Linked DNA regions of Rhinolophus ferrumequinum. The protein of the gene in region 1 purifies or fractionates together with the protein of each later gene. This does not show direct contact. Links are inferred from orthologs where the notes say so. Each region holds a gene or a part of one and is shown in the gene's direction. Other genes may lie near its edges. The genes, in order: SLC30A2 and METTL9.

The links.
Region 2: the proteins of SLC30A2 (region 1) and METTL9 purify together in Homo sapiens (co-immunoprecipitation; 3 studies listed by BioGRID and IntAct, with this or other methods). This does not show direct contact. The link is inferred for Rhinolophus ferrumequinum from reciprocal best matches to the Homo sapiens genes SLC30A2 and METTL9.

What each region holds. Positions count from the first base shown.
Region 1 is NC_046292.1:17,836,485-17,852,605, reverse strand, and holds the start of SLC30A2 (proton-coupled zinc antiporter SLC30A2), read left to right. Parts: upstream 1-7,392; 5' UTR 7,393-8,189; coding exon 8,190-8,239; intron 8,240-8,901; coding exon 8,902-9,122; intron 9,123-10,237; coding exon 10,238-10,384; intron 10,385-11,072; coding exon 11,073-11,226; intron 11,227-11,951; coding exon 11,952-12,126; intron 12,127-12,841; coding exon 12,842-12,947; intron 12,948-14,055; coding exon 14,056-14,190; intron 14,191-14,610; coding exon of another isoform or gene 14,611-14,627; exon of another isoform or gene 14,628-14,671; coding exon of another isoform or gene 14,672-14,817; exon of another isoform or gene 14,818-14,940; intron 14,941-16,121. Other genes in the region: E3 ubiquitin-protein ligase TRIM63, read left to right, coding at 1,478-1,546, 2,642-2,652.
Region 2 is NW_022680357.1:16,849,911-16,866,782, forward strand, and holds the start of METTL9 (protein-L-histidine N-pros-methyltransferase), read left to right. Parts: upstream 1-10,253; 5' UTR 10,254-10,416; coding exon 10,417-10,581; intron 10,582-16,872. UniProt on the Homo sapiens protein: Protein-histidine N-methyltransferase that specifically catalyzes 1-methylhistidine (pros-methylhistidine) methylation of target proteins.

The sequences.
Region 1 (16,121 bases):
GCTGGCGTGAGACAGAAAAGCTTCGTGACCCCTGTTTTTGTCGGCTGTCCCGCAAGCTTGCAGAATCTAGTGTTACATCTATTCTCTGAGCCGCAGATGTACCCCATTCGTGGGTGAGGACAAAATGCGTCCCAAAGCTGAGATGCCAGCAGACTTGGGTATAACCGTTGCTGTAGATCACCTGCTCCACGGTTACCTTCCCAAAGCTAAGATAGTCTAGAGTGGATAATACTGTGTGAACAGTATGACGTGGTGATGACCAGCACTGCCTTCCAGAATCTCCCTCAGCCTCAGTTTCCTCATAGGAAAATGGTGAGAGAACCAACAGCTACCATTTATCGAGCACTTTCTATGTCCCAGGCACTAAACCCTTGACATAAATTCTATAATTTAAGACAACTTCAAGAGGTAGTTTCTGTTGTCATCTCCATTGTGTACTTGGGGAAATAAAGCCACAGCAGGCTGAGAGGTCTGCAGGAGGCCACGCAGCTAGTGGAGCCCTCGCTGATGCCACTGAGGGCCATCTGGCTCACAAGACTCTTGTGAGGATTGTAGGAGACAATGAGTGTCTGGTGCTTAGCACAACACTTGGTACATAGTAAGTCCTCAGCAAACGCTGCTATGAGTAGTTAACTGCGATCATGATTAAACAACAGCAACAAAACTCCCTGGGTTATGCACGGATCCCAGCTAGCTGGCTGGAATTTGGGCTATCATTTTGGAGGCATGAATTCTTTCAAGCCTCTCCTCAGAAACTCCCGACACATGCTCTGATTCTGTGGCGACTCCCTCAAGGCCCCAGAGGATTAAAAAGGCCGCTTGGGAGAGGGGTTGGGTGACACATTTCCTGTTAGCAGAACTGGAAGGTGATATCCCTGGAGGTGAAGCGAGGACACAGGTTGCAGCTCAGTCATGGTCTGTCTGGGGCTCAGCTTCAGAGAGCTAAGGAGCAGGTGGCCCCAGAAGTGCACCCCACCCCTCTGTGGGCTGAGGAAAGAGGAAAAGTGGGCAGGCAGTGCTAGGCAAACACATTTCAAAGGCTGGGCAAATTTCTTCAAGACAGGAGTCTGGTCCCTGAGAATCCAGGCGTTCTTGTCCCATCTCCACAGGTGGTAGTTGTCTATCGAGAGGTAGGCAGAAGCCTGTGTGCCTCTCAAAGTCCCCTCTGGTCACAGGCAGATCAGATAATAGATGCCACTGCTGCTACTGGAACAAAAAGAGCCTTTGAACCTCTCTCCCTTGGGGGGAGGGGCGGGTGGAAGGAAAGGGAGGGCTGAAGAAGGAGGAAGCCCGCTTCTGTACAGTTGGGGTTTGACAAGCCCATCACCTCCTGGGCAAGTGATGTCCCTGCATGGCCGGTGGACTCGGCTGGGCGTTGGAGTATTTGGATCAGTGCTGTCTCCAGCCTGGTTCCCCTTTGAGCAGCTCCTTGGAGAAGCCGGCCCATCCTAACACTATTGTTCTTTGTCACACACAGATGAGGAAGAAGAAGAGTTCATTGAAGAAGGTCAGGAAGAGGAAGAGTCCACGGAGGGGAAGGAAGAAGGTAAGAAATCCGTCTACCTCCATGCTTTCATTCGTTCATTCATTCATTCAACCTCAGGAGACGCTGATTATGTGCAAAGGACATTGGGGAGGGTGCCAGTATGTGATGTTGTTCCCAATATGTGTTCTAAACCTTTTAAGGTTAAAGACCTGCTCCCTTTACCTTTAGAGAAAAAAACAATCCAAGCTATTCGTGATAAAACGCTCCCATTTTATATCTAAATGACCTTCCTATATGGAAAGTAATACAGAGTAACAGAAATAAAACACACGACACTCATGAGCCAGGCTTGGTCCACTGAGGTGTTTTGTTTGGCCAGCACAATGTTTAAATTTTTAGAAATTAGTTTCCAACATTTTTTAAGTTAGATTTTTCGAAGGATTTTTTTTTAAAAAGGAGATTTCAACTAAGAATCTGGATTTCCACCTTCTTGTGAAAATTTGGAAAGAGCTAACAATGCTGAGCTTGCCCTTCTTCCTCGTCCCAGAGAGCCGGTGCTGGGCAGTGGCTGCCCCTTTTGGATGGGACGTGTACTTGCCAGTTTGCTCAGACCCACCACTGTCAGCCTGCCTGCTTTCCAAATTCACGTCATCTGCTGGCCCCTGTAGGCATCTGAGTTGGCCAACCTGCCAGAGTATAGTTAAGAGTTCTGAATTGCAGCTTTATCACAGACTATTGCTGTCATCTGGAGCAGTTCACTTTTCTGAATCTTGGGCTCCTTACCTATGCACGGGGGCAAAATAGTACTGACCACAAACGTTTATGGTGGAGAGGAAATTAAATAATCACTTAACACAGTGTCTGGCACGTAGGAAGGACTTGTTTCCTAATTAGCAAACATTTCCTAGTGCTATTATTTTTCAAGTCAAGTTATTATTGGAACTAAATTCCAATCCTGAAATATACAGAGTGGACTTTTGGAGCTGTGTATTGGATGTGCAATCCACAGTGCTGTGGTAACTAAATTCTATGTTGGTTTGAAAGGAAGCAGCCAGGCAGGAATTGGAATTTGATAATTTTGTCACTGCAGCTTGGTAGGCACTGGGTCCCTGAGTCCCTCACCTTTTGCTTCTTTGTCTTTTTTTTCTTTTCCAGGACATCAGTAAGAAGCCGGATGAGGAAGAGACTCTCTAGATGCAGAGAGACTGGGGAGGGTGGGGATGGGCCCAGCTGCCTTGGTGACAGGCCCAGGGTGGGAGGGGTCGGGGCCCCTGGAGGGGCAATGGGAGGTGTGTCTTCTCTTTGCTCAGAGAGCAGGGGACTAGGAGTAGGGCCCCCACCGCTGTGTCCAGCAGTCACTGAAACAGAGTTGGAAAAATGCTTGAAACAACCACACAGGACACTTTTCTACGTTGGTGCAAAATGGAATATTTTGTACATTTTTAAAATGTGATTTTTGTATATACTTGTATATGTATGCCATTTTGGTGCTTTTTGTAAAGGAACTTTTGTATGATAATGCCTGGTCATTGTGTGACTGGAGATTGTTAGACAGAGGAGAAGGAAGCCAGGTTGGTCGAGCTGCCCACTTCCTTTCCTCACTGGGAGAGCTGGGTAGCCCTCACAAGCCTGGAAGGGATAACGTACTGTATTTCAATGCCCATCCCTGACATAGGGGATAGCAACTGAGTTTGTGTTATATGTTGTTTTAATAAATGCACAGCGCTCTCTTCCTGTTATTACCAAAGGAGTTGGGGTTTCATTCAGCCTTTTTTTTTCGGAAGAGTTCAGGGTGGCAGGACAGTGGCCTGATAGGAAGTGTGTGACAGGAGGGAGACGGTAAGTAATGGCAAGGCTGGTCCCACCTAAGAAGGACCTCTTTAAACCAGCATTTCCCAATGAGGGCTCCATGGAAACCTGGCCCTGAGATGATCTTCAAGACGCAGGTTTAATGCCCCTGGTTCTTTGGTTCTCCAGAAAACAGAGCCTGAGGCAAAGCCTAAATGTTTTAATCGAGGTACAACCCCAGGGCAGCCAAGGTGAAGAAAAGTGGAAGCAAGGCAGAAAAGGAGGGAAGCCAATAGAAAGTGTAGCATTATTGAGCTGGCCACAGCTTCACCAGACACCCGGCTGCTTGCTCAGTCATGTGAGATGTTTCTAGCAGGTCATAAAGAACACAACTGATTCAAAGCAGTCAGTTCATCAGAGAGAAGAAGGGAGAGAATTTTGTCTGTTGGCTCCTTTTATCTCTTGTCTCAGGATTGAGGTTTGTCTCCCAGGGCTTTAATTCCCTTGCATTTCCAGGTTGTATCACTTGGCCTCTTCGGGCAGCTGCTGGGGAAGCTAAGCTAGATGGCACAAAATCAATTGGCTCTGCAGGTGGTTGGAGGAATAGAGCTTCCATGGTCCAGTTGGGTTGGGCATGGATGCTGGATCTGCTGCTGGCCCCTCTGCAGTGGGCACAGTGGAGACTCTGCTGGAGCCCACACTTACTCCTGGGAAGGCCAAGACATCCGTCAAGTGCTAGGGGATGAGGCAATAACCAAGGCCAAAGTAGCACCAAGGCTTTCCATGAACCAGGGGCCAAGGGGCTGGGAGAGAGATGAAGCTGAGTAAATTGGAGATGGTGCATTAATTGGGTCTGAGACACCTTGGACCTATAAATTTAAGAAACACTGCAGAGTCTGTCCCACCTTTTTGACATTCAGTACACAGTAGCAAGTTAAGGGCTCTGAGAAATCCTGCCATAAAGAAAGCTATTTAACTTCAGACAATGACTGGTGCTTCAAATTTATGGTGTTTGGAATACTGCCTGATACATGACATCTTAATACGTGACATCTTCTAGAACAACTGGAGTTCTGTAAAACAACTCACTTTATGAAAGTGCTTTAAACCCTCACACCTCTGCCCATTTTTCCTTCTGGGAGTTTTTCCAAGGCTAACTCAGTCCCTAACCTTGAATTTCAAGGAGTCAGATTTTGCTGTCATTTCTATTCCTTTCTCCAGTTCTGAAGCATTGGGAAAAAAATGTAATGTTACACACAAGTGTACAAAACTAGTTGTAAAGCTTAATAAATTATTGTAAAATGAAATCTTGTGCTGTTACCATGCAGGTCAAGAGAAAGGACATTCCCAGCCCCCAGAAGCCCTCCAGGTACCCCCTCCCATCATAACTTCTCCTTCCGCATGGAGGTAGCCACCATCCTGTCCTTTTTAATAATAACACACTTGCTTTTCTTTATAGTTTTATCTTCTAAAGTATCATCCCATAGAAAATTGAAGGAATTTGAGGCCAGAAAGCAAGAGGCTTTTATCACCTTCAAATCACAAGAATCAGTATTACGAATCTAGCTACATTCTATCTCCAGATTTCTCCAGGTTACTGATTCCATCAGAGACAGGCATGTCCATCTACTATCTGTCAGTTAGCAGAGGGAGGCAGGAGGACAGTCAAGGCTCCGTAGTCAGTTAAAATTTAAATTCCAGGAAGATATCTGTTAATTGCAAATAAAAGGATCTCTACTTTGCTACATGAAAGGCTCTGCCTGTCTTTGCAAACCAGAACACAAAAGGGTGGTATGAAGAGTGCTTGATCAGGCGGCCGGCCCAGTGGCTCAGACGGTTGAACCGCAAGGTTGCTGGTTGGACTCCCACAAAGGATGGTGGGCTGCGACTCCTGCAACTAACAAAGGCAACTGGACCTGGAGCTGAGCTGCGCCCTCCACAACTAAGATTGAAAGGGCAACAACTTCACTTGGAAAAAGTCCTGGAAGCACACACTGTTCCCAAATAAAGTCCCCTTCCCCAATAAAATCTTTTTTAAAAAAAACAAGCTTCCTTTAAGATCATGCTGCATGGGGTGGCCGGTTTGCTCAGTGGTTAGAGCAATAACACCAAGGTCGCAGGTTCGAGTCCCACATGGGCCAGTGAGCTATGCCCTCCACAACTAGATTAAAAAACAACAACTTGACATGGAGCTGATGGGTCCTGGAAAAACACACTGTTCCCCAATATTCCCCAATTTAAAAAAAGAAAAAGATCATGCTGCATGAGAGAAAACTGGCTCCAAAGAAGTTATTCCGATGAATCTGAATACAGTTCCATAGGCTGCTGCATTAGAGTCACCAAAGAAGGCTTACTTTTCTTTAAATGTTTAATTCTGGAAAATTTCAAACACATGGAAAAGTAGAGGGAATAGTACTCATATAATGTACCTTCTATACCCATCACTCAATTTCAACAGTTATTGACAAAATTATTTCTTCTCTACCCTTATTAGTCACTTCCCCCACTGGGATTATTTTAAGGCAAATCCCAGATATCATGTCATTTTATCCTTCAATACTTTAAAGATTCTTTTTAAAATCATAGCCACTATACTATAAAAAAATGAACAATAATTCCACAATAGCGTCAAACAGAGGTCTTAAAAATATAGATTCTCAGACCCCACCCCAGACCTACAGAATCAGACTCCGGTTATAGAGTAAGGGAATCTATATTTTAAAAATGAGATTCCTTAGGTAATGTTGGGGTCTGAGAACTGCTGGGTCATTCACATAGGACCTCTTAGGAATCTCTGCCAGACCCTGGTATATAATACAAGTGGACCTGGCAGTTTTCAGTATATCAAAGTCTTGAATAATTAGTCAAACTCTTACAATTAAAATGCATGATGGGAAAGTATTAATTTGAAGGAAATCTGGCATAAAAGGTTTTATAAAATGTGTATGTATCTGGATCCGATTTGTAAATTTGCGTTTATTGAAAATTTACAATGTGCCTTGCATTAGAGGGAACAAGAAGGACATATAAGATGCACTTTTTAAAAGCATAATGTTTTGCCTTCAAATAATTTACAATATTTATTCATCTGTGCACAGGGCAGTTTGAAACTCCACACAACTGAGATGGCCCAACAAGAAATTCCTGTGAGCTGCACCTGCGTCACTTACTCTCATCTGATGAGTGACCAGCCTGATATTTGTACGCATCTTTATTTCACGCCAATTCACAGGTATGTAATTAAGCGCCCCGTAGGTGCTCAGAGCTGGATCAAAATGTAATAGAAGTACAAAATACATCCCTGCTCTCAAAGAGCTTATAATCTAAAGGGGCGTATCTGAGATGACCTGCAAGACTTTACGCAGAGGTCCTCAAACTTTCCTGTACAGAAATCCCTGGAGAATCTTGTAAATATGCAGATTCTCAGGCTCCGCACCCAAATGCAGGGAGCTGGCACCTGCATTTTCACACTTTCTCCAGGTAGTACTGAGTCTCTTGGTCCTTAGACTATACCAGGAAAGCCAGGCAGCCTGAGGTCAAGGTTTTCCACACTTAGAGTCCAGAAATGGAGAAGCTAAATTTCAGGCACGTGTGCCGCTGCCACCATTACTCCTCGCACTTAGTCTCCTAACAAGATGACTCTTGTTTGGGGGACAGATTCAAGGAGTCCCTCCTGGTCACCAGTGGTGTGTGCTCTTGTCTCTGTAAGGGGCCATACCCAAGCCGTGGCCGCCCGACCAAGGGCGTTGGGGATGATGGGGTGATTTGCTAGGGAGGTCACCAACCCAAAGTGCTTTCTATATACAGTGCACCTATCAGAGGCCAGCGTCGGGGACCCCTGAAAACCCCTGTGGAAGGACTTAGCTTCCAGAGAGTGGGCTACGAAGCCGGTACAAAGGACTGGCCAGCTTCTCCCCGCGGGACACCACGCCTGGCACCTTGCTGGGGCTCCTGTGAGCTGCTGCGGGGCCAGGGGAGAAGGGATGGTGGTGGTGTGAGCTTTGCCCAGATGGAGACTGCTGCTGAAGCGCGACACTGTCCTATGTAGGGGGTGGAGATAAAGCCGGTCACCCCAGATTCTAATCGGAGCGCGCAGGTGAGAAACTGGCGTTGTTTCCGTGGCAAAATGGATCGGGCAGTTCCAACTAGTCAGTCCTAAAGAGGGCCACAGCCTCGGCCCGAGGAGAGGCAGGCCCCGCCCCCAGGAGCCCCCTGCCAGAGCCGAACACAACCGACCTTAGGCGGCTGCAGCCTGAGGGTGGAAACCGACCAAATTCCCAGGAATCTCCAGCCTGTGGGGAAGACACAACCCTAGCCTCAGGAGCCACATTCCTGCCCTCCAGGGGCCCAAAGCGGATTTCTACAAACCAAGGTCCAAGAACTTCTTGGTGGGACGCTGCCAGCCCCGGGCGGGGGACAGCGAACGCAGCCAAAGCCCAGTCCTAACTCAGTGGAAGCAGTTAGGCTTTTCCTTACAAGCCAGATGGGATCCCCGGGCCCCAGGGTGCATGGGACTGGTGCTCTGGGGCAGCTTCGGAGCATCCATTGCAGCCGGCCACCTCCTCCCCATACCCCGCGGGCTTTTGCACACGACGCGCGGCGGGCCGCTTCACACGGGGTGGCGAGGGCGAGATAAAGCGGGCAGACGCGGGACGCGGAGAGGCGGGAGCGCTCTGCGCGCAAAGCGGGGACTGGAGCCGGACGATCCCAAGGCGACCCCAGCGCGGCCGGGGCCCGAGCAGGCGCGAGGCGGAGAGGTGGGCTGGGGGAGCGAGTAGGACGACGGGCACGGCGCGCGGAGCTCACCCCGCAGGTGAGTCCGCGCCCCCGAGTGTCCCGAGCGCCACTTCCGGGACTCACTTCACCGGGCGTCCGCGCGCCGCTTCCCGACCTAGCTCCCGGCGCGCGGGGCCGCATGAAGGCCACGGATAAGCAACATTTGTTGGACGCCAGGCGCGGAGCCCGGTAAGGCGAAAGTGTGGGGAAGGGCGAGAATTTGAGCAGCATCAGACGCACCTCGTTTGCTATCCTGGGATGGTTTGGGTGGCTGTGTGGCGGCTTGAACTGAGACCACACAGGAGGGGAGGAGAAGGGGAAAGGGGAAATCCAGCTTGGCACCGGGATCATCACTCCCTCACGTACAGATCCTGCCTGACCCTTGCCAGCCTGTCTGGAGTGAGAAGCCTAGAGCCCCGCCCCCGGCCAGGCACTTTGCCCCCGGGGCAGCCCGGGCCTCGGAGGCCCTGTGTCCCCAGGTGCGCGAGATGGGGGTTTGTCCATCTTCCCGAGCCAGAGCTCTGTTCCTTCTCCGCGCTCGGGTGGACCGCCCCGCCCCTTGGCCAGTTCCCAAGGTCTTTGTCTCCTCCAGGCCCTGGGAGGGATGGGGCAGGAAAGAACACCTGGGCCAGTACCCCTAGACTCCTGCAGACTGGTCATTCCCCTAGTACCCACCTGCGAACACAAGCTTCTGGTCACTCCTCAGGGACTTCGAGCTTGGAGCACCCTTATCTCTTCTCCTAATTGGACACATGGGACCTCCAAGGCCCCACAGAGAGCTAGGAGTGGAGTCAACTCTCCTTGCCTCCATCTCAGAGCTGAGTCTCCTCTTTCTCTTCTTCTCTGGCCAGTTCTTATACGGGATCTCTGTGGCAGGATGGGGCTGGCTGGGTTTCTCTGCCTCCACCTGGCGTGGATTTGCCAGCCATTGAGCTGGCTGTGGAGAGCAATCATTACTGTCACACTCAGAAGAGTCCTGGCAGTCACTGTGACCCCAAGAAGGAGCGGGCCCGTCGTCAGCTTTATGTGGCCTCTGCCATCTGCCTGGTGTTCATGATTGGGGAAGTAGTTGGTAAGGACTTTTGTGCTAATTAAATGAAATTGGCTTGTAGATAGTCTGGATGATCTAAAAGACTTTTCCCCTGTAATGTAAGCCAGTAACATTAATACAGTTGACACTTGAACAGCGTGGGGGATTAGGGTCACCGACTCACACAGTGCAAAATCCACATGTAACTTTTGACTCCCCCAAAACTTAGCTATAGTCCACCCTTTGCATCTGCAGATTCAACCAATGTGAATGGAAAACGGTATTTTCCTTCCACAGTTGGGAATGTGGAATTACTCTTTCTCATCGGGGAGTTGGTTGAATCTGCAGATTCCAAACCTGCAGATATGAAGAGCCCACTGTACTTACTGAAAAAGATCTAGGAATAAGTGGACAGGTGCAGTTCAAACCCATGTTGCTCAAGGGTCAACCATACTATAGCCCCATTTATCAGACTTTCACTATGCTGTGTTTAAAAAAAGATTAATTTTAAATTAAAAAAATTTTTAATTAATTAAAAAAATTTAATTGAGAAAAATTTAATTTTTTCAATTACCATTGACATACAATATTATATTAGTTTCAGGTATACAATATAGTGATTAAACATACCTTATGAAGTAGTCACCCTGATAAGTCTGGTACCATCTGACACCATCTGTTATTACAGTATTATTGACTATATTCCCTATGCTAAGTCTTTTATATGCACCTATCTTATGCAATACGCACAACAACCTTGTGCTATCATATGGGTGCTGTCAGTCTCCTGATTTTACAGATGATGAAAGTGGCACATCAAGTAATTTGCCCAAGATCACACACAATTAGTAGGTAAGGGAAGACCTAAATGCCTAGAAGGAAAGAACATTTACTGAATGCCTGCTATGCTTTCCAGGCCCTATTTGAACTTGATTTTTCACATTCGCCTTCTAAGTAGATATTGTTAGTCCTGTTTAAGTTGAGGTACAGAGAAAGTAAATCACTTGCCCATGGTTACACAGTGAATGGGTGGAGAGGTCCCGGTTCCTGTATCTTTCTCCAGAGTCCATGGTTTCCCTGCTACACACACAGTCTGGGAAGTTGGCTTCTTGGAGAGCTGATAAGGACCCTCCACCCTCCTGGTACTGCCCCTGCAGGTGGGTACCTAGCACATAGCTTGGCTATCATGACCGACGCAGCCCATCTGCTCACTGACTTTGCCAGCATGCTCATCAGCCTCTTCTCCCTCTGGATGTCTTCCCGGCCGGCCACCAAGACCATGAACTTCGGCTGGCAGCGAGCTGGTGAGAGCACTGGTCTGGATGGGGGTGGGATTGGGAGAGGGGTGGGTTAAGACATGGGTTCTAAGGTGGCTGCAATGGTGGTGGGTCCCTGAGTGAGACCAGGAGGGTGGCTTGGGTGTGGGAAGAACATGTCAACTTTGGCTTCTGTCCTCGGGGAACTCCTAGTCTACAGGGAAGAAGAGTTCACCTTCCTAAGAAATGAAGTGGCAAACTTCAAGAATAAATGACTATGGCATTAACTCTGCACGTAACTCCATGTATCAGCTTGAGGGGCAGGAAAGCTCAGCCACGCCTTCTTGGCTGAAGAAATAGGATGTAAACCCTCTTTAGTTCATCTCTGGGTTACATTCTCATTTTCGTCTTGGTGGGAGACGGCCCTTCCTCTCCTCCTCAGAAGCTTCAGTTTGCCTGCTGAGCAATAGTATATATTTTAATAAGTCAGTTTCTTTGCATGTAAAACAAAAAGGTTTGACCCATGTGACTTCTTAAGTACCTTCTAGCTCTGACATTGTCAGAGGTATGAGTGGCACGACAGGGTACAACCATGCCAGCTACACGTTCAGCAGAGCCCATTCAGACCCAGGCCCTGACTTTGAGGGGTGGGAGTGGGGGTACTGGAGGGAAAGAGAGATCTCCTCAGCCTTAGGGCGCCATGGTAAGATTGGTGTTGGGGTGGGTTCTTCCTCAGAGATCCTGGGAGCCCTACTCTCCGTGCTGTCCATCTGGGTCGTGACTGGGGTACTGGTGTACCTGGCAGTGGAGCGGCTGATCTCTGGGGACTATGAGATCGAAGGGGACACTATGCTGATAACAGCAGGCTGTGCTGTGGCCATAAACATCATGTGAGTGCGTCCTCCCTCCTCCCGCTTCTCACATGCGTACTTGTGCTTGATCTTGGTGGATGCCGGCCAGGCCACACCAGTACAGGCTACCGGGAGAGTTTCCCTGATGGTCTGAGCTCTGGCACCTGGAACACCTGGATCCTGCCTAAGGCCAAGGCCATCGGGAGCTGTAAGTCTGGGGCAGCATCAACTCCACCCCTGCTCCCAGATACATATCAGTGAATAACCTGGGAGGCTTCCTATCTGAAGTGGGGAGGGGTGAGTCTAGTTCTTGCAGGAGCAGATGTCCCTAGGGGCAGAACACAAGTCCTTTTTCCAGCTGATGTGCCTGAAATTGGTGTCAGAGAGAGGCAGGGTATACAGAGCATCGGTCTCATTTGGGTTCTTTGTCCCTTGCTCAGTGGCCTTGGGCAAGCCACTGCCCTCTCTAGGCCTCAGCTTCCCCATCTGTGACATGGTGGGGGAAATGATAACCTCCATGGTACCCTCGTGCTCTGAGATTTGGCACTGGGGCATTTTTGAGCCCAGACTCAGCCTGGCATTGGAGGTGAACCCTTTGTCCTGTGGCACTCTAAGCCAATGCCATGTGGGTCAGGCTCCTCACATGGCCAAAGGGATCGGCAGTCTGGGGGTTGGGATTTTTGCTCCACAGATTGGCCAGACCTAATGGGTGGTCTCTACCTGCTACCTCAGTGAGCCCCTTAGCTTTGTCTCCACTTCTGTAGAATGGGGTTGACTCTTCACCAGTCTGGCCACGGGCACAGCCACAGCCATGGAAACAGCCACAACCCCAGCCAGCAGCAGGAGAACCCCAGTGTTCGAGCTGCCTTTATCCACGTGATTGGAGACTTGCTGCAGAGCTTGGGTGTCCTGGTGGCAGCCTATATTTTATACTTTAAGGTCAGAGCTGGGGACAGAGAGAGGTGGGCTGGAAGGGGGGGATGGGCAGAAGAATATAGATCGTCTGGGGGCTCCTTCCGCACAGGACCCCTTCTAGATTCTAGCTCCCTCCCATCTCTGGGCAAAAGAAAGCGTGGGGAGAGGGAAGGAACATTTATCCAATTTCTGATCCTCACAACAACCCTGTACTGGTGTTTTTCGCAGCTCAGAAAACGCTCAGTGACCTGCACTGTGTCACACAGCTGGTAAGTTGTGGAGCCAGATTCAAACCCAGCACTCTGTGCTGCCGAAGCCTGGGCATTGCCCGGCACAGAGAGGCAGTGTGGTGTATTTGAAAGAGCCGAGGGTTGAGGGTGAAGTCTGGCTCCAGTCCTTGCTAGCTGTGTGATGTGGAGTGAGTCCCTTGCTCTAACGGAGCCTTAATTTCTGGTAAAATGGGGACATTGGACTAGATGTTGTGTAAGATTCCACTTAGCTCTGTCCATGCCTCAGCCCCTTGGTCAAGGAGGGGTGGGAAGGAACTATGCCTTATCCTGAACTGTGGTCTGTCCTGCCTGCCTTTCCGGGCATGGAATAAGCTGGGAGGCAGGGCTAGGGTAAGACTCATGTCCACCCCGCCAAGAGCCCCTCTTCCTGACAGTGCGAGGTGGGAAGGGAGAACAGAAGCTGATGTATAGGTGTTGAACCCCAGCTCTGCCTTCCCTTTTTCCTGTAGCCAGAGTACAAGTACGTAGACCCCATCTGCACCTTCCTTTTCTCCATCCTGGTCCTGGGGACAACCTTGACCATCCTGAGAGACGTGATCCTGGTGCTGATGGAAGGTAACTGGGTTTGGGCTCCCTTTTTGCTCTTGGCTCTCCTGCTCTATTGAAGTTCCAGGGGTGGGCGTAGGGGTCGAATCCCAGCACATTGATGGGGAGCCAGGCTCTGGAGCCTGGCATAGGCTGGAGAACCTCCTGGGGCCCCAGGCAAATCTTGGCATCAAGCTGGGCCCTCAGGTATGGCCATTCCTGGAAATGTCCCCTGGACCATGCCTTCCCTTCCCCCTAGGCCCAAGGGTGCCTCCTCCCTGCTGGGTGTCCTCCTTGACTAGTCACTTGGCTCCTGGGTGGTATTTGCAGCACCTGGCACTTCAGCCCTTCCCCATACACTTCCTCTGTCTCCATTTGCTTCCCCTCAGGCAGAGTGAGGGGTGAAGATATGCTTCCCATTGCGGAAGGGAGGCGGGCAGACTGAAGCTCAGAAAAAGACAGTTGGTGTTGGACAGGGCTGCCGAATCCACTCCAGCTCAGGCCTTTTTTTCCAAAGCCCTGGTGGCTGGGCTTCGAGGGGTGCCAGGTAGTGGTGAATAATCTGCTCTGAGTTACCACACTCATTCACCTGGCTTTCTTGTGCTCCAGGGTCTTGGGTCATGGGTCTCTGTGTGGGCAGGGTCAGCCTGGATTCTGGTCTGGGGTCAGCAGGAGTGTCCAGCTGCAGGTCAGAGTTTTTCCTCCAAGAATGTGACTGACTCAGATAAAAGTGATGGTCAGGATGCCCCATGTGGGTGCAGGGATCTCCAGCTGCCCTTCTTTTCATTCCCAAAAACCCCACAAAACCTTTTTTATTGAGCTCCTGTTATGTCTGGGCACTGTTCTGGGCACTGAGGGGGATAGGATGGTAAAGAAAACAGGCTGTCCTGCTCTCATGTGGAGTTGCCGTTTTAGAGGGGGAGACAGACAGAAAACTAACAAGTGAGATAACTTCAGACAGTGTTAAGTGTGGAGAGGAAAACAACAACAAAGTGATACGATGGGGCTCGTTTGGGAGATGGGGGAAACATCACATCTGCTGGCCAAGAAGGTCTTCTCTGAGATGACATTCGAGGAGCAGGAACCAGCACGGGTGGAAGGGAGCAGTTTCCTTCAGCCCCATCCCTGCCGTCCTCAGGGACGCCCAAAGGCGTGGACTTCACAGCTGTGCGGGATTTGCTGCTGTCCGTGGAGGGGGTGGAAGCCTTGCACAGCCTGCATATCTGGGCGCTGACTGTGGCCCAGCCCATGCTGTCTGTCCACATTGCCATTGGTGAGTGGTGGGGACCCTCCGGGTAGGGTGTGGGAGAGAGGCAGCCAGAAGCCTGGGACGTCCCTGATGGGTCTAGAGGACCCCAGACGCTTGCAGTGCCCATGCTTTGAACCTGGCCCCATGCTGAGTGCTTTGCACACATTATTTAATTTGATCATCACAATCCCATTTATAGATGGAGAAACTGAGGCTGGGGGTGGGGTGAGATAGTAAAGTCACTTGCCCAGGCTTTTACAGCTCATAAGTGGCAGAGGAAAGCCTTAAAGCCTGTGTTTTTCCTGCTGTTTGGGGATTGTGCTAGGTATGGGAACCAAGTTGCCTGGGGCAGGGGTGAAATCTGGGGTTTCTTAATGTTCATGGTCCCCTATCCTGTTCTGCTGGGGGTAGGGGATGAGAGTCAGTCTCTTGATTGTTCCTAAGGGCCCAAGAGTGAGTAAACGGTTCTCTGGTGCCTTCCCTGGTGTGTCCTCTTGGTCCCCAGCTCAGAACACAGACGCGCAGGCTGTGCTGAAGGCAGCCAGCACCCGCCTTCAGGGGAAGTTCCACTTCCACACCATGACCATCCAGATCGAGGACTATTCTGAAGACATGAAGGACTGCCAGGCGTGCCAGGGCCCCTCGGACTGACTGCCTGGCCAGGTGCCAACTGGGGCAGGGACAGGACCTGCAGATGGCAGGGCCCAGGGTCCCCCAGGTCCAGCCAGGACTCTGTTTACCCCGTCTGTGTTATAAACGATTTCCCTCTCCTGACCTCTGCTCCATGTTCAGTGTGGAGGAGCCTTGCCCACTCCGGGAATGGGGCTTTGCCCCTGCCTCCCCAGCTGATTAGAGCCAGCCCACGGATGGGGACTCCAGGTGGCAAGTTAATGTGACCCGTCTCTTCTGGCTCCTGGGTCGGCTCCGGGTGGTCTGGCTTTGGGTCTAATCCTCAGCCAATGCTGTCCTACCACCAGCCTCAGGGAAAGGCAGTGAGGCACATGATGGGTGCTGGAGCGGGGAATGGCCTTAACATCCCCTTACCTAGCCATCTCATTTCCTGTTTTCAGTCTATCTGGACTTTGTCTTATGAATCTGTGAAGAAGTCCAGGTACAGAGTCCCCTCCCTTTGTCTCTAACAACAATCTGATTTAAGGAGGCCGTGGGGGTTGGGGCGTTGTGAGGATCGTGCACTCTCTTCTTGTCCCCCTGAAATGGGAAGCCAGGGGGCACCCAAGTCCTGTCTGTGTGGTAGTCACTTCGGCTGTGAGCCAAGCATTTCCCTTTCCTAGAGGGAGGAGGCTTCTGACTAGGTAAGGACCTGGCTGGTTTCCTTTGTCCCTATTCCCCCAGCCCAAGAAGTTGTGTCAACACAAAGATGCCCTGGCCACAAAAGAGGGGTACAGGGATTTCAGCTTGGGTCCCACCCTAATCACCTCACAGCTCCTGGGCCACTTCTCAGCCTGATAAGTGTCCCAGGGAACTCAGCCTGAAATCAGATTTGATCGGACCAGCTCTGACCTGCTCTGAACTTGGGGGTAGAGGACAAAGAGGGACTGTACAACTGGAACAAGAGACACTGGGTGAAAGTTCCTGAATTTGGGGGTAGGTTGTGTTTACAAGATGAAGGGGGGAGACCTGTCCCTAGTCTCACAGAGAAGGCAGCGTGCGCAGTCATCAGGTGGCCCTGGTCTAGTGGTCTGTCTGCCATTAACAAGCACATGCCCTTAGGCAAGTCAGCCTGGCTGTACCTCAGATTCTCATCTGAGAATGTTACCCTGTTTCCCCGAAATAACACCTAGCTGGACCATCAGCTCTAATGCGTCTTTTGGAGGAAGAAATTAATATAAGACCGAGTATTATATTATATTATATCATATCATATCATCACATCATATATTATATAAGACCGGGTCTTACATTAATTTTTGCTCCAAAAGATGCATTAGAGTCCC
Region 2 (16,872 bases), on another chromosome or scaffold:
GATAAGGGCCTTCATGTCGTAATACTAGAAATCGGTTATCTTCATTATTTCATACAGGTAGCTCCTGTGAAAAAACTGCCACAAAGTCCCCACTTTTCACCCACACACAAAAACAATGGCAATGAAATTCTAGTATCCTATGGAAAAGGCCGCCTAAGGCCGTGTTTGGTCAGCACACATTGATGGAGTACCTGAGAGGTGTTAGCCCTGAGCTGGGAACAGAGACATGTAGTCCTGAGGCAGGACACCTTCCTGCCCTGGGGAGTTTACGTGGTGGGGCAGCTGGAAAGCCCTGTCCAGGGAGCTAAGTCCAGGGTGGAGGAAAGCACACGGGGCAGGAGGACCATGAGCTTGTCCCTCGGATGCAGCGCACCGCCCTGACATTCTTGCCGCAATCCTGCTGCAGGAGAGAACGTTCTGGAATGGAAAGGTTTTTTCCAGTGGTCAAAGTCTGCCAGTGTATGTGTTGCATGACAGCGTCATCAGTGGATACTTGGCAGGAAACAGAAACCTCCATTCCGTAATGGAGCATATAATAATATTGAGAACACTCGGAATCTTTGGCTTCACGGAAGTTCTTGGCAGAACAACAGGACAGCTCCGTGGGAATAGAGTCATTGCCCCTGGTTTCCTCTTGTAACCTCCAAGTGTGTTGAATGGAAGTCAGCCGAGTACTAACAGTGAGGGCCTAGGTCTCTGTTTGCATAAAACCCGCCGGAGCGTAATTTTGGAGACCAAACTCTTATGAGTGCATAGATGTTTATGTGTACACATTGGGGCGCTGCTCCGTCCCCTCCCGTGCACTGTGGCTGCAGCTCACCAGGCTTTGTCACTCTCCTCTGGTCGGAACAGGTAGGAGGTAGGGTTTCCTCACTTGTTAGAAAGAATCAAAATTGTATGATAAAATTTCTCCTACTTTTTAAATGGGTTCAATACATGGCAAAACTTTGCTGAAACCTTTTGTTATGTAGTTTTGAATTAGTAAGAAAAGAAACCACTGGAAAAACTAACCATGTTTCACATGTTCTTTTCCCCCAGGACAATTGTAGATCTTTGCGATGCTATGTTTGATTTGGTTTGATTTGCCTGGTCCCACTGGGCACGGCAGTCATTCAGGTTCTGGTTTGGAGGCCGTTCTCAATCAGGGACGGGACGGACCCCACGGGGTCCCTGAGGTAAGTGCCGGCCGTCCCGGGATTCAGACAGAACTTCCATAGTTTGCCTTTTCTTAGAGTTTACGTTGTACCCGAAGGCAAAACGGTTCTCGATAACCTCTGACTTGTTTGGAAAACAACACAAACAAAACAACAAAAGAAATCTGACGTGTTTTAGGGTTTGTGGACTACATAAGAAGGAAGTGAAATAGGAGTTGAGGCCTCTCGTGGCTGTTCCCCAGTGGTCTTGTGGCCTGGACACGACCTGTCACTTCACCCTGCAGTTGCAGGAGTGGCTTTGGGTTTCCCGGAGCCCACCTGGCTGGGCACGCCACACGCTCGTATCTTTTTAAGCCTCATGTTGCTGCTTGGACTGATTTTATTAGTGAGACGTCCGTTATTCCCCTCATTTGTGATACTGCGTCACCATTATCTGTCAAAACTCTTGACCTGTACACTGCCGAGGGTGAATTACCTGACTCAAAAAAGTGTACAGACCATTGTTTTCATTTTAGTTTTGGAAGGTTGTCCTGAAGTAATTACACAAATGCCAGTGGACTTGCTATTTAGACATGCCATTTCCTTCTCTTAGGTTATCTCAACACTTTCATAAAAGGAACTACGTCGTGAAAAAATAATTTCAAGACTTGAATATTTTCAATTTGAGTACAGATTGCCTCTGCGAGGAACCCCTGCTCTGTCTTCTCCATGGGGGGCCACGTTCACAACTCCCTGTTGACACAAGATTCCGGTGAGTGCACCAGGGCCGGCCCAGGAGGCTGGCTGCTCTCCACCCAGCGCCACCGGCGACTCAGGCTGCGGCTGAACGCTAGGAGGCAGTAGAGCGTTGTGTGAAGACCGCGGGCTCTGCAGTCTGTCTGCTCCAAACGTCTGCCTCAGTCGTTACTCTGCGGTGGGAGGGAGCTTCTCTGCCTTGGGTTGTGCTGTAAAAAACAAAGCAAACAAACAAACAAACAATACATACATATATATATATATATATATATATATATATAAAATATATATAGTGTGTGTGTGTGTGTATATATATATATAGTTATAGTTATATATAGTTATATAGTGTATATATACCGAGGGTGCCAAAAAAAGGTACACATTTTAAGAGATGTTAACACTTTGGTCAGCGTTGCTCCAGCAGTAGTTCGCCGTCATCAGAAGTGTCTGGACGCTGATGGGAACCACTTTGAGCACCTTTTGTCATTGCAGAAGTCAAATGTGCCTTGTATTCTTTTGTTATTGGTATATATTAATACAGTTTTTTCCTTTCTTAAAACGTGTATACATTTTTTTGGCCCCCTCTGTGTATTTTATTTATACACACACACACACACACACACACACAGGCATCAGCCTCATAGATTGTAAAGAGGATTTAGAAAGGTGACCCTTGGTGACCACTTACTGCGATGTCTGGCACCTCATATGTGCCGCCGTTAGTGGCATGTGTGGTACCCGTGCAGTGCTGTTGAAGGAGGCGCTTTTTCAGCAAGAGTGAGGTTGTGACCCCGATCTAGACTTTCATGGGGTAGAACCAGGGCTGTTTTCATTTCTAGAGTGCTTGTCCTCTCAGGTGCTTCCCAGGGGATTGGGCCAGCCTCCCGCTGTGACCAGCAGGTGGCGATAATGGGGAGGGTGATGAATATGGGGGAGTAAGAAAGGCGAGGAGTTTGGTTTCGGGTCATAAGGTGCTGACAATGTGTCAAGCACCCAACTCTCGAAACAATAGATGTCTCCACTCACAAACTTTGGTCGCAGGTTTGTACTATCTGTGGTGAATTATGTCCTATTTTATGGTGAGTTACGGAACTCTGAATTTGTGAGATTTGTTTTTACAGGGTGTGGGGCGACACAGAAATTATGCCACTTGTCTTGTGTACTGTGCAAGTACAGATATGTTTTTCTTAGCCCACGGGGGGAAAAATTCCACAGAATTCATAATTCACGAAAGAAAGTAAGCAGGTGAAGGAACAGATGCTACAACTGGAAGGGGCTTTAAGCGTCTGGTCCAAATCCATTACGTTTCGTACCTGTGGCCTTTATTAATTACCATTTTCACAGACAAAATAGTGAGGTCATGTGGTTTTCCAAGGTCACGTGGAAAATATCATGGCTGTAACTAGACTTTGGTTTTCCTGCCTGCTGGTGCAAACGCTCACCCTGTTTTGGATGGTAAAGATGAGGGCTGGGTAAACTGACATGGGGCGCAGGGACCGGGAGTGTGGTGGGTGCAGCGACCTTGGAAGAGACCCACAGGCCCACTGGGAAAGCCTCATTTCTATCCAGTGCACTGTTCTGCCCAGTGAGGTCTGATAGCTGGGTGAAGGAAGGCTGGCCGGTCGTCTTCAGTTCCCACACGGAGCGTGATGTGCATCCGTCCATCTTCTGAGGTTTTGCTGGCATAGAAGGGATGGAATGAGGGACATGGCGATTTAGGATGACGCCAATGGCTGACGTCATGGAGCCTTGATACAATGGATGCGCCCACCTTCATCCGCATAGACACAGGCTGCCTTGAGCGGAGGGGGCCAGGGTACCGTCTCCGGGGCTGGGGATGGAAAGCCGCTACCCAGTCAGCCTGCCTGTCCGTTGCTTAGGTTTTCAGAGCTGACCCAGCTCTTCCCACCCTCCACCCGCAATGAGCCGTTATTTCTATAGATCTGGGATCAGCTTCCTTCAGTCAACTTGCACTCAAGTCTTGGCTTGGGGACCTGCCTTTTTTCAAAGTGACTTTGTATCTCTTTGTTCTTATCCATTATACGCATGCTTTTAAAAAGTGTGATCCTCAGAAAGCAATTTGATTTCCTTATTTTCAAAAGTTTTTATGGCAATTTTATCATCGACTCCATGTACTGCCTACCACATCAAAAAGACCTGACTTAAATTTCTTTTTCTTCAAACATCCTTAAACAGATGTGTCGAAAATATAACATATTTCTGATACAGATATAAGTTCTAAATAGGATAAGAGAGTAACTAACAAGAGTTAGCTGTCCTCCAGTGTGACGTGATTCACCGTGTGTCAGGATGAAAATATGCCCACGAATATTGCTGCTGCTTACAGTTCAGTAATGTAGAAACTCTAGTCTGCGAATCAGTCAGCATGTCTGAGAGTCTGGAAATGAATGAATCCATTGAGCTGTCAAGCCCTACAGGGACAACTTAGGTTTTGTTTTTTGCTTTTTTCTGAAGACTCGTTCCGTTGGACAGTCACGGTGACTGTAGATGTGGGAAAAAGTATCTGTAGACATGTCTCCTTACAAAAGCAGAAACCTAAGGCAATTGGTTTAAAATTGTGAGATGTCTGAAAAGCAGCAAGTTTGGCTCCAGTGTCATGTATAGTTTGGGTTAGAAAGTGGACTTTTGCTGGAGGGAGAAGAGCCTGCTCTATATTCACAAATACCAAACTACACTTGAGTGAAGTTCTGAGCACAGACAGCACCCCTACCCCCACCCCCACCCCCACCCTGCTGGCCTGGCCTGGGAGGCAGGAGGAGGAAGGTGGAATCTGAGTTCCACTGGCGGAAGAGAAAAGTCTTCATGGTACAGGCAAAGCTGCCAACCTAATATCGGCCCCTGTCATATCTCAACCAGTTTTTCAAAAGACTTGAGCATAGAAAGCTAGTGAACTTCCAAACAACGTCTCTATTGTGGAATAGCTTAATAGCCGCTTTCAATATTGACTTTGTCCATTTGGAACAAAGGATGTTTGGTAAGGGGAGACCATGAGTGGAGAAGAAACAACGGCAGGGGTCTCACCGTGCTGAGGTTTTGGTTATCTAACAGCCAAGCGCCTTTTGCCTGGATTGAATGATTTGGGCACGCCATAAGTTTCCGGCAGATGCTGGGCTAAGTTGTAAAACGCACTCACACGAGTTGTGGCTGTTAAAAAATCAATCACAGTTTTCAGCAGGGCAGGGAGATCATTCGGCCTGATTTTCGGGTTGGTTGATTGCCCCAGTATCTTCTTTCATAAACATCTTCCTTATTCTCAGACCAGTCTGTGGTTGTGCAAAAATAAGATAGTTCAGCAGAGAAGTGCTTCTGTGGTCAGTTACACAAACTCTTTAAGGTCGCTTATGTGTATGTACGAACATATGCGCCCTGTCCATAACATGTTTGTATTTTGTTTCCAAAGCTTGCTCATCGTGCCGTGCACATTTCTTCATGTATTTCATAAAAACCATAAAGTTGAATGTTTTATAGTCACAAAAGAAGGCTTTATAGTCTCAAAATAAGTCTATGAAAACACAGTGGCATGGTTTCTGTGATTTACAGTGGTGGAGAGGAAGCAGCCATTCATGAGGCCAAACCCACATACATGCAGGAGACAGCAATTAAGCGGCCAAGGACAGGGATGTTTTGAAAATACACTTAAAACAAGATGAAAGAAGATCTTTGAACCTTTGAAAATGCCCCAGAAAGTTAACGAAAACAACAGCCTCCTCTCTCTCATCAGAGCTCTGACTCAGACCTGCTACTAGGAGGACCTTGCGGAGTTGAAATGTGTATGTTAAAAACCCACATATCCCTTGAAGAGGCTTACACTATTCTATGTTCCCATTTCTTTTAAGGATCCTAGAAGCAGTCGCGTACAGGCACAACGGAAGCACACAGGTGGCTGGTTTTAAAGTAAAGAAACTGAGGCCCAGGGTGGGGGTTTCCATGGGAAGAGCAAGTTTGCTGAAGACACTGCATACGACTCTTGTTTGACTCGAGTTGTACCACCATCGGTTAGATGGAATTAAAAGATTTCTGACCCCTCAACCTTGAGATCATGAAGAAACTGATTTGTTTGCTGGAGTCGGGGATCTAGTTGAGTGTTAGGCTGCAGGACTTTCCTTAGTGGAATTTGTCTTGTGGGACGTGAAGTTTAAAGTGGACGCTGGCCCTGAGCTCGGGGACGACTTCAGCAGCTTGTGCAAAGAGAACAGACACGTTTCCTCTGAGCCTTGTGGTTCCATCGTAACAACCACGCCCGCTGTTTGAAAGCAGCCTGGGGAGGGGTCACTGCAGTCCAGAGGAACTTGGGCAACTCGGAAGCTCTCCAGCTTAGCACGATGTCAAAACGAGGGCCACAAAGCCACACGTCCTCGGGGCAGCCTTTCCTGACCCAGTTAGGTCAGCTCGCTCTGCTCTAAGTTCTCCTAACTGTATACAGTTCCTAGCACTTAGCAGTTGTAATTGTGTGTTCATTTTGTGATTGCTTGGACGGGTCTGCCTCCCTACTAGACAGCGGGTGTGAAGGTGACACATTGTGTTGATTACGCTTTCCATTCTATTTAGTCCAGCAGCTGGTGTATGGCACGGGACTCAATAAATATTTATTGACTGTGTGAATGTGGTATTTCTTTGTCTTTCTGATGTTATTCCTGACATAAACTGAAACAGGTATGACATTGCCATGGGAGGGAGAGCGCGGGGGTCAGAAGCTTTCAAGCGGGTGCAATTCTGTGGCTGGCACAGATGCAGACAAATGGGCCATCTGGGGAGAGTTCTGGTTACCTCCAGAAAGACAGGCACCCCTGACAAGGAGGTGGCTTGAGTTTGCTGCCGGATTTTGTGACTTTAGGTTTGAAAGTTTCATTGTTTTGTTTTAGGTTCCCTTCCCCCACAACCATCCTCACTCCCTCGGTTCCAACTTTCAGGAAGGGGTCTGGGAACCGACCCGTCATGAGGAGCTGTTATCACTGGCCTCTATGGGGATGTTTCATGGAACAGCAGCTTTGCAGAGCTCACTGTCACATTAGAACTGAGTCTCCCTATTGCGATAACCTTGGTTGATGTTTCTACAGTTGAGGAAGCTTTCAGATCATCTGTGTCTCAGAGACACAATGTGAAGTAGTCCGCTCAGAACCATGGCCCTCAGTGTATAGCTGAGGAAAGGGAGGTTCAGAAGACGTCGATTTACCCAAGTTACAGTACAAACAAGAACAAGTGAACGTTTTTTTGGAGAGCTTACTCTGTGTTGGGGCCCTCTGTATTTAGAACATATCATTTAATCCTCTACACATCCCCACAAGATAGGTAACCATTATTATCACTCCCATTTTACAGATGGGGAGACTGAGACCTAGAAGTCATTTGCCACAAATTGCTTAAGCAGGAGGCGTAGAGCCAGGCTTCAAACCCAGGTTGTCTGTCTCAGGAGCACAGAGGATGAACCACTAGGTATTCCCACTTCTTGTTCAATTTTGCTGCTTTATTTTGCCATTTTTTAAAAACCTGTTTGCAGTTCCACCTTAGCTTAGAATGTATCAGTCAGAGACCATTGTGATGTCTTTGCATGATTGAAATTATATCAACGAAGTCCAGTTAAAAATCCCCTACATTTACTAATTTTAAAAACGTATTGAATACATTTACTAATTTTATTTTGTTGATGTGGCCTGTCCATTGGAGGGCACCTCCATTGAATATATTGAGGAAAGTTTGTACCTTTCTCTGACACTCTACAAAACATTGTTAAGAAGTATTAAAACATGCAAGTCCATGAAAACAGGTGATTATATGAGTTCTTTTTAGACTAGTATCTCTTCAGGGAGATGACAAATGACCAATAGTGACCGGCACACTTTGTGCCCTCTACAGAACCAAGTCGCTCTCCCAAGTGGGTTCTCTATACACTAGACTTTGTAATCAAAAACATGAAAATGCCGTAATTTGTAGTCGATAAGAACAGTCACAGCAAAAGTGCCCTTTCTTGAAATCTAGGTAGGTAAGTGATCCGACAAGATTTTGGGCCTATGCACAGAGCTGTGACCCAAGCTGGACACCCAAGCTCCTGGTCAGTAGGGCAGTGAACAGAAAACTCAGCAGAGAGAATGGTAGTTACGTTGTCTTTTGAATGTCACTGCCTACATTTCAAAGCCACATTAGAAAGGATATTGACTCATATTTGTGTGTGTGTGTGTGTGTGTGTGTGTGTGATCTGTGCCTCTTCCCCTGTCCGTGATGGATAATTGAGGTTTTAATATACAGTAGTGACATTCTAGTAGATGAAGGAAAGGGGCAGTCCCGGAGGGCAATCTGAACTTCTGCTTAGTATATTTACTCTTGCTGTTTTTCCTTCCTCCTCATTTGTAATTCAGGAGGCTCTCTGAGAAGAGAAGGACAGCGAGGCTTCTCAGATGGATCGAAGGACCATGAGCTGGGATACCGGTTTCTTTGAAAAGGTCTGCTATTGAATTTGCTCTGCTACTTTTAGGCAAATCATTTGGTCACGCTGTGCTTTGGTTTCTTCCTGTGCTTGCTGGGTGTAAATAACATGTGTTGGAGTATTTTGTGATTATTATAGAGTATGATAATATGGAAATGATTTATTCTTCCAGGAGCGCTGCTCAGGTGAGAAGTGAAAATCTGCTCTTTTTGAGATGCTGGGCTCCTTGGCAGTCACCTGACCCTGTCCTTCAGACTCCAGAGCCATCTAGTTGCTTCTTGCTCATCTGACACAATTTGCAGACTCTGAGCTGCAGCTCATCAGGCTTAGAGTGGGGGGCATTACCTTTTGTTTTCAGAAACGAAATATGTCATTTTATATGCTCTTGCTGCTTTCACCCCTGTCTAAAAGATGAAGGGTTTCTTTTGGCACAGAGCTGCTTTATCTGTGACACTGATCCCAAGAGACAGGAGGGAGAGGAGACATGGTAAACAAACTGAGGTATTTGGACGTCCTACCATAGATCCTTTTTGATGATTTGGGCCAGGATCACGAGAGGTTTGAATTAGATTTAGTAAGGTGCAAGCTCTTTGGGGTTTTGGCAGGAAGCAGTCCCAGAGTATAGTGGAAGAGAACGCAAAGTACCCTCCCCCTTTCTTAATAGCCTACGTAGCATTAGGCAACAGGATGTCTCTGTTAGCGATAGATAGGTGCCAAGCTGAGATTCTCTGAATCTAATAAAAACGTCTGTGGGTAAGGAATGATTTTGTTCCGCATCAGTGGATGTATAAATGACAGCCTCTGAAATGCAACGTTGGCGTTAACAGGTTTCTTTTGAACTAAGATAAAATGTATATACAGTATTTCTAGAGCAGTTAAATCCAAAGCATTCTCTAAGCAAATCGAGGAAGGTGTTCAACTTCGAGAACCCATGAAACATGTTACTCCTTGGTTGCAGCTTGGGTAGCAGCAGGAAGAACTTCAGACACAGGAACACAGTGTAACCCTTCAGGTTTGGAATGTTGCTACTAGGTCTCCCCGAGCTATAAATGATTAAAGACACATCCGGGTAAATACCAGCTCTTAGTTGGCTTTAAGAGTGTCGTGCCCAACTTCCGCCTGTTCGTTCCAGGAAACAAGCAGCCAGGGACTCCAGTTTGGGGTCTTCCTTCATTCTTGGACAGGGTCATCAGGACGTCAAAGCATGACCTACAGGTGCGCCAGCTGCAGTAGCTTCCAACAAAGGCAGAGCTTTCACTGAGGCCTCTTAGAAACCAGTCGCCTGCAACTGGCCTGGCTTGGGGAACGGGACGCGGTGGTCTGCCCTCCGCCCCCAGATGCCTGCCTGCAAAGCAGGCTGGAGGCCCCCGGGGTGAGGGTCTGGCTTGTTGGCTCTGAACGTAAATAGGAAGCCACGCAGCTAAGCCAGGAACGGCGACGAGCGGGCAGCGTCCGTCTCCCGCAAGGACTCAGTCTGATTGTCTGGTCCTAGGAAAGGAATGCGCCGCCGCCGCCTCTGCCCCGGACCAATGGGCACAGCAGGGTTCAAGTCCGGCCGGGGTTGGGATGAGCGGCCCAGAGCCGATCACTAAGGCGAGCCAACCCCAGAATTCCCGCGGCCACCACGGTGGAGGGACCGGGAGGCTCCAATTACCGCCTTCGGAAGGGAGCCTAAAAAAATTACCATCATCGCCGCCATTACGCGGAGCTCGGGGCCGAGGAGAGGCTGGGCCGCGCGCGCCAGGCGAATGCGCGCTCCCTCGGCCCCGCCTCCCGGCCGGCCCGACCCGCTGATTGGGTGGAGGGGAGCGCGCCCCGGCGAGAACGCGCCCCACCGCCGCTCGTACGTGCTCCGGGTGGAAACCCGCGCCGCCGCTGGCGGCGTTCCGCGGGCGGAAAGGAAGGGGGAGGCGGGAAGGCCGCGCGCCGCCCGCCCCTCCCCACCCCCGCCTCGGCCCTGCAGGGGCTGGATGGGCAAGTTGGGCGCGATGGCTCGGGCCCGGGTGGCGGCGGCCGGAGGCGGCGGCGTCTCCCGCTCCTCGCCGCGGCGCCGGCGGTGATCGGAGCGAGCGGCCGCGGTCCCTGATGAGACTGCTGGCGGGCTGGCTGTGCCTGAGCCTGGCGTCCGTGTGGCTGGCGCGGAGGATGTGGACGCTGCGGAGCCCGCTCACGCGCTCCCTGTACGTGAACATGACGAGCGGCCCCGGCGGGCCGGCGGCCGCCGCGGGCGGCAGGAAGGAGAACCACCAGGTACGGAGCGGGCCGCGGGCGGGGGCGGGGGCGTGGCGGCCGGGCCTTCCCTCGCGCGGCCGCCGGCGTGGGGGCGGCGGGCCGCGGCGCCTCGCGAAGTTTCCCGGGCCGGGCGCTCGGCCCGGGCCCCGCGGCGCCTTTTGTTCCCGGCGCGGCGGCCGCGGCCTCCCGTGTCCCCGGCGCGGGCCGGAGCGTGGGCGCCCCGGAGCCCGCATTGTTCCCGCGTCCCAGGCGGTGGCTGCAGACGTGCGGCCCCCTCGGGGCCCGGGGACCGTGGGGGCCCGTGGGCGCGCGGCGGGCGCCGGGCCTCGGGGAGCACCGCCCAGGCCCAGCCCGTCGCCCCGCGCACGCCCCGTGCCCCCGCGAGGCCGGCCCCGCTTTTTGTCTGGAGCAGTCCGCGGTCGTACAAAGGGTCATAAAGGAACGTGGCCGTGCACCGCCCGCCGCCGCTCAGCGCCCCGGGCTCCTTCAGGTGACATGTCCCCGCCGCCCTTAGAACAGGCGTTTGACAGGTCGTCGCTCGCGTCCCACCCGGCCCGGGACCTCGGCTTCCAACTTGGATGTTGGTGCCCGACCCGAAAGGGGTGGTGAGAAGGGAGGGAGGTGATGGGCGCCAGCTCGGAACTGGCAGGGTTTTCACACCGGAACTGGGCAGGAAGGAAATGTTTCAAGAGTTGCAGTTGATGCGATGGGACCGGCTGGGTCGTCTTTTTTTTTTTTTTTTTTCTTTTTTTTTTTTTTTTTTTTTTTTTTATTAGCTTGGTTTTGTGCCGTTTAAAGAAGTACGTGCAGGTCAGCTGTGGAATGAAGAGTGAGAGGTGTCCTGTTTGACCACCAGGTAGTTTGCAGCTCACACGTGACATGCGTTGAAAAGACACGCTGTTGAAGTCTATAGTGTTGGCTTATAGTAGCATTTACAGTACATTTTGCCTTTCCATTTATTCCCCATTTTGTGTCTCATCGTTTTCGTAGACTTCTCGTTTTCTCCTGTGTGGCTTTTCTTGTTATGCTGGGGGTTCAGAGACTTTACACCCACGTTGTCTTTGTGTGTGTGTGTGTGTGTGTGTGTGTGTGTGTGTGTGTTTAAATGAAAGGAAGGAATTATCCAAGGGGCGGAAAGCAATTCATTCAGGAAAGTAGCATTTAGTTTTCAGTTAGCAAATATTTATAATGGCCCGTTTTCTGTTTGTAAAGGAAATCATAAATTTCCATGATTTTTTTTTTTTTTTTGGTAGTCCCACAGCTGTGGCAATTCCTATGATATTGTTAGGTGATTTTAAGTTGCGAAACCACGTTCTTTGCTATGGATTAATTACTTACATTAGTCTTTTTAGGTAAACAGCTCTACTGTAGTGATGACGAACAGTTACCAAAATGTCATATATCCGTATGAAACATGGGTAATGGTGTAAAACAGTGAATTAAAAATGTCACTTTCAGCAGTTGGTTGAAATAAGGTCCCGGATAGGATAAAAACAAGGCTGATTTCCACTGATGTGGAATTATGGTTGAAGGTTTTAGCTGTTGGTGTTTATTCTAACACTTGTGACCACCTCTACTGCAACAGACTGGATATGTTTCGTTGCTCATAAAATGGGACGAATGTTAAAAATCAAAAAACCGTTTCCTTTGATTTTTATGGAACCTAGGTGGAACTATAGCTATAGATGTAGCCTCAGAATATCTCCTTGTAACAAAGGCTACTTTCTAATGTTGTACCTTTTAAAGCTGCATCATCTGTCAGGTTCTAAGGAAAACTGGTGCTGGTTTTGGATACCTCATTTACTTCATTATGCTTTGGAGATACTCAGGAGTGTGTGTCTGTGTTTTAACCAGTGGCACTAACAATTTGGCACCTAATTTCTCCAAGGTGGAAGAGTAAACCGGTGTTTTCTGAATATTGAGAAGGAGAATAGATCTTTTCCTTAGAATGATCATTCCCGACTTTATTTCGAGATGATACATTCACATTATGAAAATGTTGTTCACAAACAAAGCTTAAAATGAACAAAAGAAATATGTATGCAAACCACAGTGAGGTTAAATGAAACAGGAGACTGTCTTCTCTGCTTTATGTTCCAGGATCCTGGATTTGCTTTATAAACTTGGTTGCTTGTGAAGTAACTCAACTCTAATGGTTCTCCCCCCTTCAAATTAATAGTTTTATACAAGGTCTTCTGGTGTTCATTTGGGTATGTGAGTTCCATAGCCAGCCACATCTGGTTCTTTTGGAGTTGCATGAAAGTAAGGTTATGGATTTGATTGAACCATACTTAGCACAAGCTTTCCTTATGGTTATTTTATTAAGAAATTATGATGGAGGATTCTATGGTTAAAAGAATCCTCCAGCACTTGGGCAATGTTTCTTCATTAACAATTGCTATTTAGTTACTGTAGCCCAGAGATGCAAGGCTTCTTTGAGCTAAAGCAGCTCTGAAACTATAGTAGCAGCACCACTGCAATAACTCGGTTTGGTATGCTAGCTTCAAAACTGAGATTATGTTTCACTTGGGGCAAGCCGAGAAGCAGGGAAGGGGGGGGCGGGGTTGGCTTGCAGGCCAAATTGGATCACTGACTTTTTTGCACAACCTGTGAAGTAAGCTATATTTTTAAATGGTTACAAAAAATAGGATGTTTTGTAACACGGGAAAGTTTCTTATGTGAAATTCAAATTTCAGTGTCCACAAATAAAGTTTTATTGGCACACAGCCACCACATTCATTTGCCTGTTTGTGAATGCTTCTGGGCTAAAAGTAAGCAGAGTAGTAGTTGCTACGTTGTGACTTGCACGCCTCAAATATTTACTATCTGATCCTTTCCAGGAAAAAGTTTTTCCCCAGAGAAAACTTGCAGCTTCCTTAATCAGCAGGTTCTTAATCACAGGTTGCAAGGTGGGTAGATTGACTCACTGGGGAGAAACTAGTTATGTCACTTTTCAGTATTGGCAGACTGAACTTGAAACGAGGAGAAACTTTAGATCTAGTCTTTTCGATGCATTGCACCTGGTACTTAAAGTTAATGCAACTATTACAGAGCTACTGAAACTGGAAGGGACCCTCAGGCCCCACTAAGTTCCTGGTAATATCAGTCATTCAGCAGCTTCTCAGGTGATGGACTGAAAAGAATTGTTATAGAACTCCCTAGAACCAAGCCAGGACACTTGCACCAGATGACATACAGCAAGGTGTTTTACAACCGCAGATAACATTCAATGTTCGGAATTGTGAAGGTGTACCTTAAAATTGCAATTGTGTGTATGTATCCTGACTTATTTTTTCACCTTCTTATAGAAGAACTGTGCTATGCCAAATGCGATGATGGATTCAGGACAGAATTGAAATGGTTTGGGTATTTTTTCCAAATGAAGAAATCCTTGGACCTCACAGCCAGAGGTCAAAAGTTGTGCTAAAGGACAGATTGGGTCTCCTGTCCCCTGACTTCCCATGTACCTGTGGGGGCAGACCAAAGTCAGGCATGAGTTAACAGTGCTCGGGGCACTCACCCAGCTAGCCAGCCAAACACTGACGGATTCGTGTCCTCTGAACCGATTCGAGAGTCTGGCGGCCTTTGCAGCCGCTTAGCAAAGAGATTTTGAAAAGGGCTTCTTTCCTTCCTCAGAACCTGTGCTGAAAACCCTAAACAAGTGTTTGCTTCCGTTTTTGGAACACTAGGATCTGTCATCTGCTGGACACACCAGGGGCCTTTTCTGCGCCCCTTTGAAGGTGGCCTAGGAGGCCTTGGGAAGCCAACTCTGTGTGGACATTGATCTTGAAAACACTAGCTGAAGTTTGCAGTTTGTGTTAAACAAGATGGTAACTTCCCGAAAAGACTTGTTTAGATCCTCTGAAGCTTTGTTCACATGTCAGGATTATAAAATACTAACAGTGAACATTCGAAAGGAAGATAGCTAGTAATTTATTTATGAAATCAAATCCGAAGCAACTGAATCTAATCTGTATAAATTGTTCCCTTGCATGGACCTGAGGTGCCTTGTCACCGTACACATTGAAATCTCACCTGAAGAGGTTGTTGGGTTAGCTCCGTATTATTAGTCGAAACATAATGAATGGGTGGACAACCTATTCCTGTGCTGGGCTTAGATGCCCGCAGGGGCCGATGGTGAAATGTGTGGACTGAGTTGATTGCATTGCAGAAACTTGGAGTGCGATCTTTCAGTCTTTGGCTGTCGAGGTGTGTCATTGGGCCTGGCCTGACCATCCCCTGGAGGAGAGAAGGTTCTGGCTCATGGACCCCGTCAGTGGAGCCTTTCTGATGGATTTTAGTCACATTTGATCGCTCACTGCTTGTGAGAATGGCTGGCTGCCCCGCCTGACAGTGTGGTTTTAGACAGTCCCTTGAACTTCACTTTTCCTCTCACCAGCTTTTGTGCATCTTGGACAGGAAGAGGAAGGAGATCTAGTTACAAGGCTTCTGTTGTGTGCCAGGCACTTGAAATACATTATCCCCTCTCATCCTCATGACCACTCTGGGGGGTAGGTGGTACACCCCCATTTTACAGACAGAAGGTGGAGGCCGAGAGAGATGAAACTAGCTCAAGAGCACAGCTCATGGATGACATGTTGGGTTTTGAATCCCGGTCTGTCTGCTTTGCCACTGCTTCGTGATGTCCCTCCTGAGAAACATGTCGTCTGAGGGGCTGTGAAACGAAACTGCCCCACTCGTGGGGCCCGTGTGGACGGCGTATAGCGGCGAGCAGAAACACCAGTTGGAATTTTTGCAGTTTGAGTTGAACAGGTTGGGACAACTGCTCCTGGCGCTGGCCCCCCTCCAGCTTGTACATGTGCTTCATCAAGTTTAATGTCGTAAAAAAAACCAAAACAAATCTTATCTATGTGTCTTTTTTTCCTGACACCAACTGATCCTCCAGTTCTCTGACACCCGCTGGGTGTCCTGCCGTTTAGTTCTATTGTGACACTTACCTACTGGAGTGAGTTAGCGTCAGTCCACAGGTTTAAGGGTTCGGCCCCACAGACCGCCCTGACTTCCGATGCTAGCCAGTCTAGTCGCGGTCACAGACCACCTGTGCTTTGTCTGACTTGGCTACAAATTCTGGGGTTCCCCTCCCCCTCAGGTGAGGTCATTTTCTAGAACAACTCACATAGAGTTTAGGGAAACACTTGATTTATGTTGACTGGTTATTGTAAAGGTACAACTCAGGAACAAGCAAACAGAAGGAGATGCCAGAGCCAGGGTGGCACGTAGCTTCTATGCCCTCTCCAGGTACCGCCCTCCCAGCACATCAGTGTGCTCAGCAGCATGGAAGCTTCCAGAACCCTGTTTAGGAGGTTTGTGGAAGTTTCATAATTAAGCGCAATGAAATCATTGGCTTTTGGTGATGACTCAGTCTGCAGCCCCTAGCCCCTCGCTGGAGGTTGGAAGGTGGGCTGAAACTTTCATCCGTGTCTCATTAACGTGTAGAAGTTACTCTTATCACTTACGAGGAGTTAGGGGCCCTGTGCCTGGAACCCGGATAAAGACAAATATTTATTTTTTATTACACTATATTACCTAAAATCAGGAAGTTGGATTTTAGAAATAACTTTCTAATTCTACTGATGTGCTCAAATCCTTTCTACTATTTTGGAATAAATGTCTTACAGCTAATGTTTGACTCGTTGAGGAAAATAACTTCAGAAAAGCTTTTAACTGTATCCCTGAGTCTGATACGCACATACATTTTATTCTTTGAGGGGGTGATTCATCAGCCAAGGTTCTGTAAAGACCAGGACATGCTAAGGGGTGTAATGAAATCTGGAAGAGATGACCTGGTCCTTCATCACTGGTTAGCCACTCCCGTCCAGCACGTTCAGGGCTCTGTCGCTTCCTGATTGGGCCGTTTATGACTTGGCTAATTATCAGTGTCTTCTCAGTCCTGTTGCACATGGGGAGGGCCTTGCTCTTGCTGCCGTTCTTTAAAGACGTAATGTTTCGTGATCACATCCTGCTTTATCCTTGGCACCAGCAGCTGGCACCAGGGGCGAGACTCGGGGTTGATGAGGGTTCGTTGTTTACGCGATGTCCTTACTTACTTCGATGGAACCACGTTTGAGTGAGCTTTCAAGGAAGGTGGTAAGCCGAGGCCTTTGCAGACACGGTGGCCTCCAGCCCAGGAGCCAGCCTCCCGTGCAGCTGGCACACAGCCCTTAGTGCGAGCATTTCACAAGCCCCGTGCTTGCTTCTTGCCCGCGCACCTTGCTTCTGGGGTCCGTGAGGAGCGCACGTTCAGAGAACTCACCTGCTTGGCGGCGCGGGAGCCCACAGACAGGCCGC